Linked DNA regions of Diceros bicornis minor. The protein of the gene in region 2 purifies or fractionates together with the protein of the main gene of each other region. This does not show direct contact. Links are inferred from orthologs where the notes say so. Each region holds a gene or a part of one and is shown on either strand. Other genes may lie near its edges.

Region 1 (10,498 bases), on a different chromosome or scaffold from region 2:
TTCACAATGAATTCCCAATAGTCCCTTATTTTTTCCTTCTGTTACAGCCTTTTTACTTTCTATTTGTTTTACAGAAAATACTTAAGTGTGCAAACACATTTCATCTCTCCTACCAGATGGTCTGCTCCTAAAGAACAGGGGCTATGCTGTACTATACAACCAACATATTTTCCAGGACTGTCCCAGTACAAAATATTGACAACTGCTGTTTGACCTAATATCCCAATTTTTGCTTGACAAAATAAATAATCCATTTCTTAAAATCTTCAAACGCCCACATATCACTTATATACCCAGGGAACTTGAAAATGTCTGTTTGAATGAAGGAAAAAACAATCCCAATTGCTTCCCATAGGAATCTTATTATAGAAATATAGCAATGGCTGACAGCTGAGTACCTGATCTGGGCCAGGTCCTACGCTAAGAGCTTTACATTTTAAACTTCGTAAGGATCCTACAAATTGGATCTTTAACCACTCACCACTATACTCTAAAAAAGCATCATTCCTGTATACAAAAAACGGGCAGGTGATACAAAATAACACATCATTAAGAAAACAGGAGGGAAGCTGATAAGGACAGTTGGGTCCTGGTCCCAGCTTTACATTTCCCCCTTTTCTCCTCCATATTGGCACCTATGAAAAGAGGAGCTTAGGTCTGGTTCTGTGGTTCCAGACTGTAAATATGAAAATCAGTGAGAAGTACAATTGTGGGGTCAAATGTGGGGTATAAATGGTAAGTATTTCCGGAGTTCGGAAGTGAGAGAAATTACCGTTGGCCGAGGCACTCAGATCTGACAGGGCTGGGCCAAGAGGTTACATCTTGGGCTGAGGCACCAGGTTAAAGCAGGCCTCTCGTTCCAACAGGAGGGAGGAGAGCATTCTAGATGTGGCAAATGTGCAAGCACAAGGAGCAAAGATGGAAGGAACAAAATGTGCCTGGCACACTCGGCTGAGTGGCGGCCCTCAGTGGTGGTGGGAGGGTAAAGCATAAAATGGTAAAGATGAGTCGAAGCTAGTTTCTGCAGAGCCTTAAACACCAACCTAATAAGATTAGACTTATAAGAGAATTTTAGAGCTGTATGTAGAGCATAAAGTGAGGCCTTGAAGAGGTGATATGCTGACGGGCAAAATCTCAGGTGTCTTGCCACTGATCCTCATGTTCTCACTTTAGCCCTAAAAAAGTGGTTCTGAAACCTTGCTACATTCTGGAATAACTGGGGAATCACTACAAAACAAAAACAAACACAATTCCTGGCTCCCACCCCCAAGCATTCTGATTAAATTGGTATGGGGTTTGACCTGGACATGAGGAGTTGGGAAAGCTCCCCAGGTAATTCCAATCTGTAGCGAAGTTTGGGAACCACTGGCCAAGTGTTAACGGGCAACTTCATCAAGGTATCAAGAACACAGTGCCTAAAGTACTAGTTTAGGAAAATTAACCTGAACTCCATTTAGGTAAACAGTTGGGAAGGAGAGAAGAGTGGCAAGAGATCAGTAGATGACTTCTCCAGCTATTCAATTCTATAACCAGTCACCAGTATTTACTATCTGCAAGGCATAGGGCTATAAAGGATTGAACTATGGCAGAAAAAGACAGCAAAAAAAAGATGTCAAGAGATACTTAAAAAAAAAAAAAAAGGGCATTAGTGAAAAATCTGATATGAGGAGTGAAGGAAAAGTGGGTAATTAGTGTTTTCAGGCCTAAGTGACTAAGAGGATGGTGATGCCATGACAGAGACCAAGGAACTAGAATGGGGAAACTAAAAGAAGTTTCTAGACTAAGAACTGGGCCTCTGTTCTATCAGAAAAGCACTGAATATACAGTTAAATTGATATATGTATAAGATTTACTTTAAAAGACACAGGAAAAAAAAAAGTGTGGAGAGCAGAGATGAAACAAGAATGGCAGAATATTGATAATTACAGAAATTGAGTGATGAGTATAAAGGGGCTCATTATACTATTCCACATATATTTTTTATCTTTCATAACAAAACTTTTAAATAATAGACCAAAAAAAAGCCAACTAGAATATAATTTTTCCAGAAATGGTGTATCATCAACAAATAAGTTGCCCTAGCAGTAAAGCTGATTAACTTGAGCAAAGAACCAGTTTAGACAGTAATTACTCGCTACTTCTATTAAACAGTGAGCTTACTACTTGCTTTGATATGCCATTAAAATAGTAACTGCTACATTTCACTTCTCAACTTTAGAACACTACACAGGAGTAAAGCATCATTGACCGATGATTTTCAACAGCAGGAAGGCAAAGCTGTAGTCAAGTCTGTTTCTATAGGTTTTTCCAAGTCCCATTCCATACTCCTTTCTACCCTGCTGATCAGCAACCTACTTGGCAAAGAAGCTGACGCTAGCACAGCAGAGTTCCCCCACTGTTTCACTTTCAACAAATGAGAAAGCCACTAATTCAAACTACTTGAGAGTAACAGGAAAAATTATAAATGCCTTTTCAAAACTCACTGTGGAAGAGGCCTGGGGTCCAGTGATAGCTTCTGCCAAGCTATATGGATAACCTGGGGCCTCTAACTTATTTCTGAGCTTTATTTCCTACCTTATGTGTAAAGTGAGGGAGTTAGCTTCCAGGAGGTGGAGGGCAACTTAGCAACATGTATCCAGGGCCTTAAAAATGTTCATACCCTTGGGCCCAAGAGTTCCACTTCTAAGAAGTGAGCCAAGGAAATAAGACACAAAACAAAGGGGCAATCTCTGCAATATTAAAAAAACATAAACAAATCCCTAATATTAAAAAAAGGTACAAAGCGGGGAATAATTAAATTATGGTCATTCATATGATGCACTATAAAAAATAATGTTTAGAGTGAATATTTAGTGATAGGGAGAAATGTTCCCTGTTTTGTAAAACATATGAGTGTTTATATACATATACACACACATATATAAAGCAATAAGTTCATTTAAAAAAATCAATAATGGCTATTATTCCAAATGACTGAGTTAAATTTATTGTTTTCTCTGCAAATATTCAGTATTTTCTAAATTTTCCATCAGGGTGTTAAAATAAGGTGGAAAAAAATTAGTGTTAAATGAAGTAAGCTACCTGCCCAGATAACCTAAATCCCAGGGGTGCTAACTTTGATCTTGCAATCCATTCTCCTACTATCCAGACTGTCTGCCACTTAAACAATTATAAACTATATGAGAAGTACCAACATGAGGCATATAGTACAAGAACTTTACAGAGCTAGAATATGTTTTTAATTATGACAGACAGTGTCTGTCATCACTCAGTCCCTGGGACTTAACTGATGAATAAAGGACCGCTATCAGCTACTGTTTTACTGCAAAAGTTGCTGCCATAGAAACAGTCCTCATGATACTGACTCAGATAACGGTAAAATGCCTTAAAAACAAATGCATAATTTCCCTCTGATATTCCTAGAAGTTTTTTGAAGGGCCCACAAGTTCTAGGTCCTAGCGCCAACTGGTTACTAACTGGCTGGTGACCAGGGATTCTGAACCTCCGTTTCTCCACCTGTGAAATAAGGGGGTTCCCCAGATGGACTGGCACTGCACAAAAAGGTTACTTCGACTTCCCTTTCACAGGAGTCCAGGGAAGCCTGCACCGCCAGCTCCACAACCAGGATGGGCGGGAAATCTCCGCGGCAAGGTGCAGCCGGGAAGGGCTAAAGGAATGTTCAGAGATTCGACACCATTCCTCAGCTCCCCACGGGTCTACTCGGTCTCCCTCCTGGGCCACCCCGCAAGGACCGAGGGTGGCAGAATGCGGCAGAGTCCCCCTCAGCTGAGGAAGGGTCCTCGCTGCCCCTCCTCTCATCCCGAATGACCTCCAGACCGAACGCCTAGCGGTCGCCCGCTCCCCAGAAGCCCGGCCTCCCCCCACAGACTCTCCGCGCGGCCGCCCCCACCCGGGGCTCACCAGGGGTCCGGGGCCATTGTGCAGTCTCCGCCCGCTCCTCGGACACTTCCTGCTCGCAGCAGCTGACTACGGCGGCTCGCGCGGCTCATACTCCGCGGTTCCACCCGTGCGCGACCGAAACCTGGAGTTTGCGAAGGGAATCTACACTAGGGCCTCAAAGCTCTGATGAAGAAAGGAAAGCGCTGACCCAGGGAACAGTAGGTTGGAGCATTCTGCTCCCGCCGAGATGCCAACAGCTGGGCGCAATTAAAATAAAATTGTTGTTGAACAAAATCTAAGCATTTTCCCGGAAACGGGGGAGCGCCTCAAGACCTCTAGCAGTTACTTAAAATTTTCTCCTGCTTGAAACAATAACAAAAATAAACAAACAAAAAACTGGTTGTCATAGATGTACAAATGTATAAATTTACTAAAACTCACTTTAAGTGAATTTTATGATATGTAAATTATACCTCAATAAAGCTTTAAAAAATTTGTTTTATCCTGCTTCGAACAAGGGACCCAAAGAAGTAGCAATTACATACTATTTTATAGCAGCCTTCCCATCAAAGGCAATCCACCATGTTTGATTAATTTTTAGATGCCATTAGGTGCTTGATTATATAGGTACCAAAAAGGTCACAGACTCTTTATTTAGGGAGGAGGGAATTAGTTCTGTGCATTTAGTGCCCCCTAAATTTCCAGAGCGATAGAAAGGAAAAAGAAGCCCTCTTCTCGTTTCCGAGAGAGTAAAAGACCAACTCCGCAGAATGGGTTTCAGCGCGGGCGGGGATCTGGCGCGCATGCGTACGTCTGTTACCATAACGACCAAAAGACGCTCCATCGTCGGAGGCTGGGAGGAAAGTGAGCCGAGTGTCCGGGTGATGGAGAACCAAATTTCGCCCAAAGCCGAGGTGGCGGAGCTGGAGCTTGAGGCTGTGATTGGCTTCAACGGTGAGGCCTCGAGCATGTCTGGACTGGGTGGTTTAGCAAACCCGGGGACGTGTAGTGCCAACAGGAACAGTGAGACACCAGGTGGCACCTGGAAGGCAGTGTGAGACCCTGGCATGAGCCCTGGCCAGGGCCAACCGCCAGGGCCCCAGCCAGCCTCTCCTGTCCAAAGGCCATAGAGAGTCACTTCCTTGCTCCAAGCCTCAAGAAGGGGGATGGTTTTTGCCGTCACCTAAAAGAAACCAAATTCCTCTTCGCCGGGCCAGAAAGAAAGGATAGTTGTAACCCTTCTCCCACTAGGTCAGCCCTCCCTGGCTCTAAGCCCCATGCAGCCCGCAAAGCTGCCTGCCCTTCCGTAACCACCGGATTACAGAGTCCGTGTCGGCCCCCGGGACCAACTAACTTCTAAAATCCCAGCTGATGTACTGAGAAAGGGCTGGGGAGGGACCGCTTTAGAGGGTAATCTTGTCCTCTAAACCGAAGGAAGGATTCTAATGGTGAGCATTTCAGACCACGATAGAAGGCGAAGAGGACGCCAGGGGGAGCTGGAGGAGAGAGATACTTTGGTCAGAGGATGCCTGGCGGATCTGCTCAAATCTTATTTATGACTGCTTGTGGTTTTGAACGTTAAGGGGGAAAATGCTGTTTGGCTTTTTGTGAAGGATGAAAACAAGCAATTGGTTACATTTTAGAAAAAGCAAACCTTTTTTTAAAAGTACATTGTGATGCCTGAAAGCTTTAAAATTGTAATAATGTAGATACAGAACAATCAATGACAAATTTTAAGCACATTCTAGGACTTGGCTCTTCATTTTACCTTGATGTCTCTAATTGACAGTGGGCACTTAGTACATCTGAGAGATCAGCCACCTTTAGAGCCGGTTACAAGATCGTTGGTAAAGGATCTGAGTGCAGTTAGTGCAAAGGGCCACGCTGGGGACTAGTGTAAAGGCTCCCGCATAGAGCTCTGCGACTGAATTCATGCTGTTTGGTGGAGCTCTGAGAGTAAATATGTGGTCACTTCCATCCGGATGTCTTCCTTGACAATTACTACTTATCTTGGCCTTTTATTATTTTTTTTAAAAGCATACGCCTTTATTTTTTATTTTTTTAACTTTATTTATTTATTTTTTCCCCCAAAGCCCCAGTAGATAGTTGTATGTCATAGCTGCACGTCTTGCTGTATGTGGGACGCGGCCTCAGCATGGCCAGAGAAGCAGTGAGTCAGTACGCGCCCGGGATTCAAACCCGGGCCGCCAGCAGCGGAGTGTGTGCACTTAACCGCTAAGCCATGGGGCCGGCCCATCTTGGCCTTTTAGAATGGCCCAAATTGAATTGTTTTTACCTTCATTTTGTGACAATTTATATTCTTTTGTATAATCAAATATACATTTATTTAGAACCACTATATGCCAAGTAGTATGCTATGCACTGTGAATACAGGGATAAATCCATAGCCATACTTAAGAAGAGGAGTTTAGAAAATTGAAAAAATACAGTGAAACCAAAAGAAAAATCAGCCATCATTACATTTCCCAAAGATATCACAGTTAAACTTTTGGTGTGATCCTTTCAAATATACACTTACATATAAATATATTTTTTTAATAAAAACAAACTTATGCTGTATATATTATCTTGTAATCGAACTTTTTTTCCACTTAACAGTATGTCATGTAAATCTTTCCTTGGCAGTAAATATACTCTGTCCCATAATTTTTAATATATTTTAATATGATATTCTGTTGCACAGATGTCATAATTTATTTAAACAATGCCCTGTTATTAAGCATTTAGGATAATTTCCATTTTTTCCATTTATTTTTAAATGCTACAAAGAACATCTGCACAGCTAAATCTTTTAACTCTACCTTTTTTCCTTAGGTCAAATTCTGAGTACATCTTAAAGACTTTTGATGTATCCTCCAAAGGCCATATTATACACAACAGAAATGTGTACCAAAAAAAAAATATATGGGAATATTTATAGTAGCATAATTTCAAATAGCTAAAAACTACAATGAAAATGTCCATCAAAAGTAGAAAGGGGGGCCGGCCCAGTGGCGCAAGCGGTTGGGTGCGCGCGCTCCGCTGCGGCGGCCCGGGGTTCGCTGGTTCGGATCCCGGGCGCGCACCGAAGTACTGCTTGGTAAGCCATGCTGTGGCGGCGTCCCATATAAAGTGGAGGAAGATAGGCACCGATGTTAGCCCAGGGCCGTCTTCCTCAGCAAAAAAAGAGGAGGATTGGCGGATGTTAGCTCAGGGCTGATCTCCTCACAAAAAAAAAAAAAAAAAAAAAAAGTAGAAAGGACAGGGGCCGGCCCGGTGGCGCAAGCGGTTAAGTGCGCGCGCTCCGCTGCGGCGGCCCGGGGTTCACTGGTTCGGATCCCGGGCGCGCACCGACGCACTGCTTGGTAAGCCATGCTGTGGCGGCGTCCCATATAAGGTGGAGGAAGATGGGCACCGATGTTAGCCCAGGGCCGTCTTCCTCAGCAAAAAAAAAAGAGGAGGATTGGCGGATGTTAGCTCAGGGCTGATCTCCTCACAAAAAAAAAAAAAAAAAGAAAAGTAGAAAGGACAAATAAATTGTGGTCTATTCATACAACAGACTACTCTGCAGCAATGAAAAAGAATTAACTACAGCTACACACAACATGGATAGAGCTCACAATCATAATGTTGAATGAAAAAAGCCAGAAGAAAAAGAATACATACTGTATAATTCCATTCATTTAAAGTTCTAAAATGAGGAAAATTAATTTACAGGAATAGAAATCAAAACAGTGATTACCTTTGGGGAGATGTAGACTGGGAGAAGGCACATGGGGGACGTCTGGGGGGTGGTAATAATCTACTCCTTGACTTGGGCTATAGTTAAATAGGTGTATTTACTTGGTAAAGTTATTGAGTTTTCTGTATTTTTGTCTTCAATGAAAACTGTTTACTTAAAAAGTCTATACTACCTCTCAAAAACAAATAAGCAAAGCTTTATGAAAGCTTGGGAGAAAGATTCTATTCTAGGCTTGAGTGAAGTCAAGGAGGAGTTAATTCAAATAGTCTTTAAAGTTGAGTAGGAGTCAGTGAGTAAAGACTGAGAGGCAGAATATTCCAGATAGCAGGAATAGGGTGAGCAAAGGAGGAAGGTGGAGAGTGTGGTGCCTGGTTGGGGAATAGCAAAAAGCCTGGTGTGGCTTAAGTATCAAGGACTGACCAGATAACACAGCAAAGAGAGCCTGAGATTAGATTGTGGAGGCCTTAAACGCAAGGTAATTGAGTTTTGCTTTCACACAGAAACAAATTAGAAGCAAAAGCAAAGCCTTTTTTATCATTGTGCTGCTAAAACTCATTGTAGAGTTACATGATAGTTTATGAATTTTAATGAGGGTGTAAATATGTAACTGCACTTGACTCTTCTAGGCATTGTATTTTGACAGGAATTTATTATTTAAGCAAACCAGATATAGTAGTGTTGCTTATGAAAACATTTTATAAAGCTATAGTCATTAAGAGTTTGGTATTGACACAACAGTCACATTCTTCAATTGACTGGAGTAGATAAGCCCATGATTTTCCAATTATACAAAGAGTTCTTAAACTAAAATCAGCAGCAATAACAAAATAGATCAGGATTTGGCACCTTATAGCCAGTGGGCCAAATCTAGGCCTCTGCCTGTTTTTGTAAATAAAGTTTATTGGAACCCAGCCATGTGCATTTGTCTATGTATTGTCTATGGCTGCTTTTACACTACAATAACAGACTTGAGTAGCTGTGGTCCACGAAGCCTAAAATATTTACTATCTGGCCCTTTATAGAAAATCTTTGCTGATCCCTGAAATAGATAATGGGTAAAGAAATATAAATGAAAGAAATATAAATGGCTACTAGCTCAAAACGCTTTAAAAAATGCTATTAAAACAATGACTTTTTTTTAATTTCTCAGATTAGTAAAAGCTAAAAATATGGATAATAGTAAGGTGAGAATAAGAAATGGTTCTCAATTACTATTGCCAGGAGTATAAATTTTACAACTTTTCTGAAAGACAGCTTTGTAGTGTCTCTTACAATTTTTAATGAAAATAATCTTTGAGCTTTTTAGAACTCGAGTCACTTATTCAAGTCTTCAAAAAATTATAAACAGTGGGATTCACTGTGGTATTGTGTATAATATCCCAAATATTGGAGGAAACCCAAATATTCATTGGTAAGAAATTGGCTTAGAAGAGGGGACGCCCTTGTGGCGACTGCAGAAGCTTCCAGCCAAGCTGCGCCTACAGCTTCTTCACAAAATAATTGATGGCATTTGTGGTCGAACTTATCCTCTCTACCAGGATTATCACAGTGTTTGGGATTCAACAGAACGGATGCATGTTCTAGAAGATATTACCAAATTTTTCAAAGCCATAGTTGGAAAAAAGTTATCTGATGAAGAGATAGTTCAGCAATTGAATCAGTTGAATTCATTTCATCAAGAGGCTATCATGAAATGCTTGAAAAGTAGAAAAAAAAAATAAAGTCAGTCAGGGTCTGTCAGAAGAAATAGTTGATATTTCCTCTGCCTGGCTATAAGATTTTGATTGGCAGTTAAAGCTTGCACTTTTTAGTGGCAAGATTGCTACGTTACAAACGCTGCTTTTAAACTTTCATCTAGATGTAAAAGAAAATGATGAAGTCAAACCATATTCTGTTGAAGTGAGTAAAGAAGAGCTGCAGAATCTAGTAAATTCCTTGGAAGCAGCTAATAAGGTGGTCCTGCAGTTGAAATAACTGGGTGTAATGAATACCAACATTGTCAGATTCCACTGCTGCAACTGACACAGCAGAGTGAATACTGTGTGCTCAGGAAACCTGCCATACAAATTTATCAACTTCTCTAAAGAACAGGAAATTACGTGGTTGGCAGCAAATGCATGAAAAATGAAAAAGCTATAATAGGAGTTTACATTTTTATAATGACTGTTTTGCCTCATTTATTAAATATTTGAGAAATCTTTATAGATATACAGTTTTATTGAAAGCTAAAAATAGGCTCTAAAGTAATGTAAACATACAAAGCACAAATATACTTAAATATTGCTTAAAGAAGTATGTGAATAGCAAGGACATGTATGGATATATATGATTAATTTGTAATATTTTTTAAAAATAGCTTTTAAAGAATGTATAAGCTGCGTATGTAACACAGGAAGTTCCATATCTTTCTCATATTTCAAAGGAAAGATTATAAAATATAGAATTTCTTACAGAAAGAAGCTCTTCTTCAGACATGAACAAGGAAAAAATAACAATTTATTAGAACAATTTTGAGTTTATGAATTTATAAATTCTGGAAACTAAAATCTTATAACACAGGAAAAAAGGAAAATAACACTGTTACTTCTGCATTTCTATGTCTGGTCAGGAGAGTATGCTCTGATGAGACAAGAATGGATATCATTGTATAGTGTATATATTACTATTCAGATATCAGCTAAGAATATATATAGGTGCATTTTTGTTATAAACCCTTAATGTTGAATTTAACAGTTTTGGATGTTAACTTCATTGGAAAACAAACCACTTTTAATTTCAGTTAACTTTAAACACAAGCATTCTGAACAAACAAAAACGTCATTAAAAAAAAAAAGAAATTGGCTTGAAAAATTGTAG
Region 2 (9,844 bases):
TGGAAGTCTGTTTGCATTCACTCTTCAAGCTTTTTCATTCACAATAAAAATGCAGTTGTTAGAGTAATCAATAACTCTGTTACTAAATCCTAAGGATATTTTAGTTCTCATCTTATTAGACCTCTCAGCAGCTTCAACTTATTTATTTCCACTTTGAAATACTCTCTTTTCTTAGATTCTGGGATACCTGTTTGCCTTCTGCCTGACTTCTAAAGTTGGAGTTCCTCAAGACTTGGGCTCTCAAGGTGATTTTTTTCCATTCCTATGGCATTATATACTGTATACCTCTCTCCCTTGGCCTCTCTTCTGAACTACAGATTCATAAGTAACAGCTCACTAGACATCTTTACATGGCTATTTCACATACATATGATAATACGTCTAAAACAACCCTTGATCCATGCCTAAATCTTGCTCTGTATTTTCTCCCTGCTTCATAAATGACATATATTTCCACACACTGAGCTGCTTAGGTGAGAAACTTCAGAAGCATTCCTGACACTGCTCTCCCATCAACCCCTACATCCAAACCATTAGCCAATATTGTCAATGTTACGTCTGGAATGCTTCTCAATCACTACATTTTTCTCCATCCACTCTAGTCCAAGCCATAATCATTTCTTGTCTGGACCTCTGCAGTAGTTTACTTGCTTCCATTCGTGCACCCTCCAATTCATTCTTCACATAAGAACCAGAGTAATCTGTTAAAAACCTAAAGCCCATCATGTCACTCTCTGCTTAAAAGACTTCACTGGCTTCCCATCATAGTTACAATAAAAACTACACTCATAATAATATGGTCTGCCTGATCTGGTCCCCCTGCCTCTTTCCTGCTTGCTCACTACATTCCAGCCAAACTGGCCTTCTTTTTAGTTCCTTTTAAAGAACTAAAAGTTTTAGGACCTTCGTACATGATGTTCTCTTCACTTGGAAAACTCCTCCACTTCCTTTGCTTGAATAACTCCTACTATCTTTTTTCCGTTTAACTGTACCTGGCTCATAAATAAACTTTGTCTCACTGGTTACTATGTCTTATAAGTACCTTGTTCTTTTTCTTCATTGCACTTAAGACCATTTGAATTTTAAATTTACTTGTGTTTATTTAACATCTGTCTCTTTCATTAAATTAAATGCTTCCGATATTAGGGATCATAACAGTTTTGTTCACCATAATATATCGAGAACACGTAGCACAGTGCTTGGCATACAGTAAGTACTCAAAAAATACTTGCTGAGTGGAAGGAAGATAAGAATGGACCTTGTATAATGAGCAAGTTAGTGGCAAAGCCAAGATTCAAAATCGAGTTTCCTCTTTTAGATCTTTAAATTCATGTTTTTATTACTCCATACTTCCTACATAAGATGCTTTATTTCTAGGTGCTTTGAACGTACGTTAATAAATGCTCTACTGTATACAATTCTATATAACATTCTGAATAGTATTGTTAATGCCTATCCTACATACTAGCATCTCTGTATTGTTTAACAAAAGATTTTCATATTTGAAAAGGAACACTTATTGTGGCTTTCACAAAACAACATTTACCAAATAAGAGACTTCAAAAATGGTAAGTCAGGACAATCGTATTTAACAATTTTTACTTAGGCGAAACAAACTCTAAATTAATTTTAAGGGGGAAAATTGTGTTTAATGTGATTTTTAAATTCAAATATTAAATATTAACTTCAAGAATCACAAAGTCTGAATGACTATATATTCTAGCTGTGTGAATCTGGGCAAATCATTGACTCTTAGTATGCTGAGACGATGTCTTACCTGGCCACAGCTTTACTCCCATCTTTTAATTTGTTTATAGCTTAAGCATTTATAATTCTCTAAGCATTTATAATTCTCTAACACAACAAAAATTAATTCAACAAAAATTTACTGAGTGTCTACTCTGTGCCAGTCATTGTTCTAATAAGCTGGAAATTCAGCTTATTAAATTTCAGTGGAGGAAGACAGATATTAAACAAGTGAATATACAAACAAGATAATCTCAGATGCTGAGGGCTTTTAAAGTTGGGGCAGAAACAGGGAAGAGAGGTTTACTTTAGTCAGTCTCAGAGGTATCTTTTGAGATGACATATGAATGACAAGAAACCAGTCAAGAGATTTGGGAAAAGGCAGTCCATGTAAAGCAGCGTTTTTCAAACTGCAGGCCCGACCTATTTGTGGACCATGAAACCAATTAAGTAGGCTGGGACTACAATTGAAAAAATATTGGAACACATCGCATGAAATAAAACTTTGTTTTAGTTATATATATATTCATACATATGTGTATATGTGTGTACATACATATGCACGCATGCCTGCACGAGTCACAATGCTAAGTGTATTCTTACTTTTGTGAGGTCAAAAAAGTTTGAAAGCTACTGAGGTAGAGGGACCAGATAGGTTGAAGGGCTTATGGGCAGCAAGGAGCTTTGTGAGTCGTAGGGAGAAAGAAGGCCAGCACGGCTGAAGGGAGCACTGGTGTAAAATGAGGTAGGAAAAGTATATAATTTTCCTGCATATAACCTCCAGCCAGCATCTTAAATCTAGACTGCCACCTCTGTTCTCATCGTGGTTCATCATTGAGACAACATGGGAGAATAATCGCCCTGCTTTAATGTCACTTTGTAAACTGTCCCTAAGAGAAGTTAGCAGTTACGCTAATGTGACTGTGAAATTAATCTCTAAGAAGGTATATTATAGTGAGAATGTTCTACTTGAATAACTAAAAAACAGAAAATAAAACCAAGTTCATATACCCTAGGGGAGCCCTCTGGTTCCTTTCAGATCCTCCTTTTAATGAAAAACGTTCAGGTTAGTTGGTAGTATTCAATTTGGCAAATCTCTTGGATATAAATACAAACGGAAATAGTATAAAAAGACCATTTAAGTCAAATGTAGAGGGAAAAAAGCAGGAGATTGAGACTGTAGATATGGCTTTTCCATTAACCAGGTAAGTGTCCTCATAACTTATTTAACCTCTCTGGGCCCTCCGATTCCCTACGTGTGAAAAAAAAAAGTGGAGCAGGTTTTCCGTAAGGTCCCTTCATACTGCAAAATTTTATGATTCTAATTAATTTTAGAACAATTTACTATTTTAAACGTTGCAAAAATTAACCTGGTGTTTTATCAGAATTTTTTTTAAAAAGAGGAAGTTACATGATATACAATGAAGATAATGTCCTTAACTTTACAGTAGGTGACACAGTGTTTGGAGAACTAGAAGAAAAAGTCAAAGTTATCTCTGGAAGTTTATGTCCTACTTAGGTTGATCTGCACTTTGGAACCATGAGGCCTTTTTCACATCACGAGATCAGTATCTTGATAAATAGCAAGATTCCTGAAAAGAAAGTTTAAACCTCAAATCATGTGTAACTAAAGCTTGACAAAGGCTCTCCAGGCAAGGTAAACGGAAAGTGAGTTGGCAACACAACTCACCTACAAGTTCTCCAATCATGAAAAGCAAGTAAAGAACGGCAGCAATGCTCAATCTGGTTTTCGCCTTTCTCTGCTTCAGTAACTCTCTCTGTTTGCTGCAGTTGTCACAGGGGTCCACCTTCAAACTCAGCTGACTGTTGGTCAAAGGAAGGTCCTGGTCCAGTAAGGAGTCGTCGTCGGCCTGGAGGGCCGGGTGCGCCCCGTTAATAGGCCTTTCCGGGGTTTCAGAACCATCATCGGCCACCACGACTCGAAGTTTGTTAAACCGAGAAAGCCCCTCGTCCCCCACCTCGTCCGAGAAGTCAAAGGCGCTGGTGTCATTTAAGAACAGCGGCGCATCATCCTTCCTCAGCAGAGATTTGAGGCGCTTCCACGCGCCGGATCCGGCCATGGCAGAGGCTGAGCGGCCGCGGCGCGGAACGGCTGGGTGCAGGCGGACTGCCGGCGGCTCCTGCTTCACCGGGCCGCCAGTTCCCGATGACACTGCCGCGCGTCCCTCCCCATCCTGTGGAACACGAAGCACGTTATAAATTAAACGCGCCCCAACAGTGCCCGCAAGTTCCGAAGCCCCGGGCGGCGGGGGCGCAGGGCCGGCCCGGAGGCGCCGGGGCTCCGCGAGGGGGCGGCGCGTCTGCCTGGGGCGCTGCCGCGGGGCCGCCGCTCATCTCCCCGCTCCCGGCCGGCTCGGCGGGCGGGCTCGCCCAGCTCGGCCCGGGGCGGCGGGGAGCTGGGCCGTCCTCCCGCCTGCCGCGCCGGCAGCCGCAGCCGGGCTCCCCGGATCTGACAGCTTCGCGGCCGGGGGCCCGCAGCCGCCGCCTCTCCCCGCCCTGCGCGAGGCCGCGCGCGTGCGCCGGAGCGGCCGCGGGCGAGGCGCGCGAGGGAGGGGTCGGCGCGAGGACACGCAGGCCCGTAGCGCGAGGCTGGGGCGCCCGCGGGGGGCGGGTCAGGGGCGCGCGCCGGGACCCCCGCCCTTCGCCCAGGTCCTGGCTGCCCGGCCCCGCGCACCCGGCTCTGCCGAGGGACACTCACAGACCAAGCCCCACTCTCCGGCTCGGCCCTTCCCCTTCCTCTTCCCCAGGCTGGGAGGCATGTGGGGATGGAGCCGGGGTCCGCGGGCGAAGTGGGCAAATTCGAACGATCCCGCCCGGGGCTGGGCGTTGCTGCCGGGAGTTTGCTCCACCGACGGAAGGCCGCGGGAATGTTGGGTTGGGATCTTGGTTGCGGATGCTCGGAAGAAAACGAATTTAGCGCTTTCTTGCCAAGTGGGAAGCGAAGCAGTTGCTGCCTCTCTGGCAAGTTGGCAAAATTTGCTGCACGGTCAGGTCCACTTGGAGAGGGCAGGGCTTATGGTCCTCAGCAGTTCTGTGTCCTGCTTTATAATTACTATTGTTTTTCAGCAAATGTGTTTCCTTTTTGTGCTCACTGCCACGTTCCTTTTGCCTCCAAGGTATTTACGATATGCACTAACCGCAACCACAGAAAATCTACTAGAGGTTTCTTTTCTGGCCTTTGGTGCTAACAGCAACAACAAGCACAAAAAATTTAAAAAGAATTAAGTTCTGAATAGTAGCTTCTGATTAGGATCTAAATTTTAATGGCAAAATGGAATGGCAGTAAGCTTCCCCCCACCCCTTCTCCCGTGAAAGTCTTAGAGATTCTTAATCCAGATTCCCTGGATAGGTTTTAGGGGATTCAGGAGGCCTTAAATTTATGTGCAAAATTTTGTGGGTATATGTGTTTTCTTGAATAAGTTCTTTAGCTTTCATCATATTCTCTAATGGGTTTAAGACTCAAATGAGATTTAAAACAACACCACTCAGGAGAACTCATAGATCAAGTCCCTAGCTCATACTTGGAGTTGAATTGCCTGCAAACTCCTATTTATCCAATTTATATAAATGTTGTATTTTGACAACAGTCTACGTGGATTACCAAATTTCAAGTTAAAAAACACAAAAAGAATATAATAAAAAGTCATACGAAACATCATTTTCCTCTGAAGATTAAGATATCACTTGAGAATCTTGCACACCTCAGGTACTAGAGCACCAATTGCTTTTGGACTCCAGGGCAGTCCCTCACTTTTGAATGCCCACCATATTCCTACAGAGCTGCAGCCAGGGAAGTCAGGTTAGGAAACCTAGATCAGGGATCCCATGGTTCTCAAGACCCAGAATATTCAGTAACCAGGGCACTCAGGTCATTATCAGCTGAAAAGAGAGAGCTTACTGAGGGTTGCTTTCCTAACCTCAAATATTTTAATCCACCTGGTTTGCCAGTAGGTTGTTTGTTGTTTTTCATTTCGGTTTGTTATACTGCCTGAAATTTTACTAATGAAAAATACTAGTGAATAAAGCAAAGATTTTGGGAATATGATTGCTCTCTCTTTAGTATAAATTCTTCATATAAGATTCCATTTAAGGAAAGAGGATAGATGTTTTCAAGAAAAGTTGAGGCAAGAGCATGGATTGTTTTGGGTATTCACAGTAAGCTTTGTTGGGAAGGACTGCAGTTCTGAATCTCGATTTATTTTTATTATTTTGTGTCACTGGGTACCTGGAGAGAGTGATGAGAGGACAACAAAAACTATATGGTGATTTTAAGATATGTCCACAAATTCTGTGATACAGTTCCCATCAAGAGGTGGCGCTTAATTCCCCCTCCTATTGAGTGTGAGCTGCTCCTAATGAATAGCATATGGCCTATAATGAATAGACTATGACAGAAGTGACAGTGTATGACCTATAAGAGTAGGTCATAAAAGGCATTGCAGCTGCCTTCTTGTTGTCACTCATGGATCACTTGCACTGGGAAAAGCCGGAGCTACCACGTCATGAGGAACTCAAGCAGCCACATGGTGGGGCCCATGTGATGAAGAACTGAGGCCTGCTGCCAATAGCCATGTGAGTGAGTCATGTTGAAAGTGGATCTCCAGCCCCAGTTAAGCATTCAAATGACTGCAGCCTAGGTGAGGTGACCTTGACCTCATGAGAAATCCTGAGCAGAACCACCCAGCTAAGCTATTCCCAGATGACCCACAGAAACTGTGAGATAATAATGTTTATTGTCTTAATATGGTAAGTTTTGGGACAATTTCTTACACAGCAAGAGATAACAAATACACTCTAGATCAACTTTCCTCTGTACCAGGAAAGACACTTTTCTACTGCTTTTATCACATGGGCTCTTGTGCCTAGGCCTGCCCTTGGGCTAGAGGGTTGATTTCTGTCATTGAGCTTTAAAATGGGCTAAATAAATAGACTTCTGTGAATAGTCTTGGAATGTAACCACCATTTGCAACCTTATTTCTATGGATTCAGAGTTTATAACAATAGACAAATGAACTTTTGAAACATAATCCATTTATCATCTGGGTACTGCCTACAGTTCAGCTAGCTATTGCTCAGTATGCCATTCTTTTATAAGACACTTCATACTTCTTTCCAGTATGAAGAACTTTTTTACATGGGCAGATTGCCAGCCATTTAGCCCATCTCTTAACCAGGTAACCCATAGTACACAGATTGTTTAGGTAGGAGCAGAGGCCTTTCAGGTCAATTGCAAAACACATGCCTTGGGGCAGTTAACTGGACTAGACACAAAATATCCTATGTTAAAACCTGGCCCAGATATCTCTTGGAACAGATGACAATGCTAAAAATAATGCTACAGCTAACATTTACCTAAAGCTTGTTGAAGTGCCAGGCACTATGCAGGGGACCTGACTTTCATGAGCTCGTTTAATCCTTACAACATCACTATGAAGAAGGTAGCGATTCAAAGCATGGGTCTTGGAGGAAGACTGCCTGTGTTTGAATCCTGTTTTCGTTTACAGTCATACAATCTCTGGCAAACTATTTAACCTCTTTGTGCTTCAATTTTCTTACCTATAAAATGGGGATGATAATAGTCCCCACTTCACAGGGCTGTGGTAAGGATTAAATGCGAAAATGCATGTAAATCGTGTAAAATTAGCACAGATAGTTCCTAGCACAGAGTGTGTGCTCAATCAACGCCAGCTATTATTTTTTAAGTAAATGAAGACATGGAGTCTCAGGGAGGGTAACTATCTTGGCCAGGGTCCTACAGCTGGCAAAGAGAGCAGGAACTCCATTCCAGAGCAGTTTGATTTCAGAGCTCCAGCTCTTAACCATTACTCTACACTGTCCCCTTGGTTTCTTTCTGCACACAAGTGGAATGAATTGCACAAATGCATCCAGCTCCTTGAGGTGTGCTAGGAGAGACCCCTGTTTCACATATCAAAGATTTGCCAGCACCTTGGGACCTCCGTATCATCCTGTGAAATCCCCCTTGGAAGTGAAGGAAAAAAAGTGGGAAAGTTGTTTAAATCAAAATACGGGAAAAGGTGCTACTTAGTTGACAGATTCAAATGCTGCATATTCCCCATCCTGAGAACTCCTTTCTCCGTTGGAGTATGTGGCTGTAGGAGGTTGCTGTAGGATGCTTTTGGAATATCTTCCCTTATTTTTTCAGGAAGGGATGAAAGCTGTTGGATGTGGACGGGCGAGGGTTAGTGATGTGATACACAACTCTGGTGAGTGTAATCACTTCTTCCTTCTATGAATACTCTGCTAACAGAGAGGCTGGAGATTCATTTTAACACCCCCCCAGGGGAGGAGAGGAAGGACCCAAAATAGATAAGAGACATACCCAAGGTCAGGTAAGTTGCCTACTTGGACAGCGAGGGGATAGAGGAGAGGATCTCTGGCCATCTACCCTGCCGGGCAAAACAAACTGTGAGCTGAAACCTGCGCTCGATTAATTGCATTGTTTTCACACCTTTGTATTTGTCTTCCCTTTGTTTTTAAAATAAACATTCCTGTGGATTTCTCTAACCATGTCTGGCTGATGTGCAGAGGAATAGGAGGTCCCACGTGGGGCAGAGTTTAAGGAATAAGCACTCCGGCACTAGAGTCTAGAGGTGGCGGCTGGACTTGGCGAGTTTGAAGATGAGGGTGGAAAGTGGACTTTGGAAGTGCTTTGGGAATGCTTCATCTTAGACAAGAGCTCACATGAGAACTTGGAGAACCTGCTTCAGCTTCTAATTTTACCATCCATCCACTATGATCCCAGCAGCTTTACTATTGTGGAGCTCATTTTCTTATCTGTGAAAAGTGGGAAATAATATTTGTGCTACCTATTTCATATCCAATGAGATTTTGTATGTGAAAGCATTCTCTTACCCACATACTAAAGAGAGCTATTAAAGACCATGCCTGATGGATGGTAATTAGTCTTTGGGTGATGAACATGGTGTAATCTACACAGAAATCGAAATATAATGATGTGTCCCTGAAATTTATATAATGTTATAACCAATGTTACATACATACATACATACATACATAAATAAATAGATAAATACCATGCCACCTGAACCAAATGCAAACCAAGGGTATAGGCAAATGTTGGTGGTCAAGCATCCTCCTCTTGTATCTGTCCCTTCTTAGCATTGCGCAACTCCAGTCCCTGGTTTATTAACGACTTGTTCTGACTCAGACCTCTAGATCACCACCATACACATTACTATTATGACGACTTTATTTCTATCCTAAGCTGTCTTTGTGTTCATAGCACCTAACTCATAGCAGGAGCCCTGTAAATACGTGTGGATTAATATATGAAAATATTTTAATCGTAGAGAGTTCATCCAGAACTTTGAATGCCCCTCTAACAAACATTTCTATTTCTTTAAGCTGGTGTATAAAGTCATTTCTAAGAAATTCTTAGTGGTGAGATTAATGTGTCTCACCAGGAATGGAGATTATTAAGACACTAATAGTCAGTTTATATTTATACTAGACTTATTTTAAAGAACATTATAAATTTTATGAATAAAGCCAGGACAGAGAAGCAACTGCAGACAAAGTGACTCTTTTGTGGCCTCTGACAACTGGTGGCTTTAAACAATGACGGCCATTGTGTAAGAACTCCCTCCTGGGGTCATAGTAAGGATTAATTAGATTAAAATCTGCAAAGCGCTTTGAGTTTTTCTGAGAATTCTTTTATAAATAAAGATGGCACTAATTTTTTTTTAAAAAGTATCTTTAGATTGGTCCTTCCAAAACCAAATGTAACAAGTTCGCCTGCCTTTTAACTCCCTGTATTCCCTGCAGCAAAAAACTCAAGACTAGGCCAACCTAAATTATCTTTAATGGTTTAAAACTAAATACCAGAGCACACATGACTGAGCAGAATTTAGTACCCTAATCACAAAGATCTTAGTGTATGATTTACTTGACACAATAATGCCTCGTAATCACTATGCCACATGGTAATTAGATATAAATTACTACAATTATTACAGCTGCTTTATACTGACCAATGAAGTTTTACTCTCCTCTTTATTATTTATATTTTAATAACTCACATTCTGCCCACTTGAAA

What was found.
Region 1: the proteins of SLC30A4 (region 2) and STX8 purify together in Homo sapiens (co-immunoprecipitation; 3 studies listed by BioGRID and IntAct, with this or other methods). This does not show direct contact. The link is inferred for Diceros bicornis minor from reciprocal best matches to the Homo sapiens genes SLC30A4 and STX8.

What each region holds. Positions count from the first base shown.
Region 1 is NC_080757.1:9,072,273-9,082,770, reverse strand, and holds the start of STX8 (syntaxin-8), read right to left. Parts: upstream 3,992-10,498; 5' UTR 3,939-3,991; coding exon 3,922-3,938; intron 1-3,921. Other genes in the region: CFAP52 (cilia- and flagella-associated protein 52), read left to right, coding at 4,785-4,854. UniProt on the Homo sapiens protein: Vesicle trafficking protein that functions in the early secretory pathway, possibly by mediating retrograde transport from cis-Golgi membranes to the ER.
Region 2 is NC_080744.1:42,402,636-42,412,479, forward strand, and holds the start of SLC30A4 (probable proton-coupled zinc antiporter SLC30A4), read right to left. Parts: upstream 4,710-9,844; 5' UTR 4,466-4,709; intron 3,942-4,465; 5' UTR 3,828-3,941; coding exon 3,437-3,827; intron 246-3,436; exon of another isoform or gene 176-245; intron 1-175. UniProt on the Homo sapiens protein: Probable proton-coupled zinc ion antiporter mediating zinc import from cytoplasm potentially into the endocytic compartment. Controls zinc deposition in milk.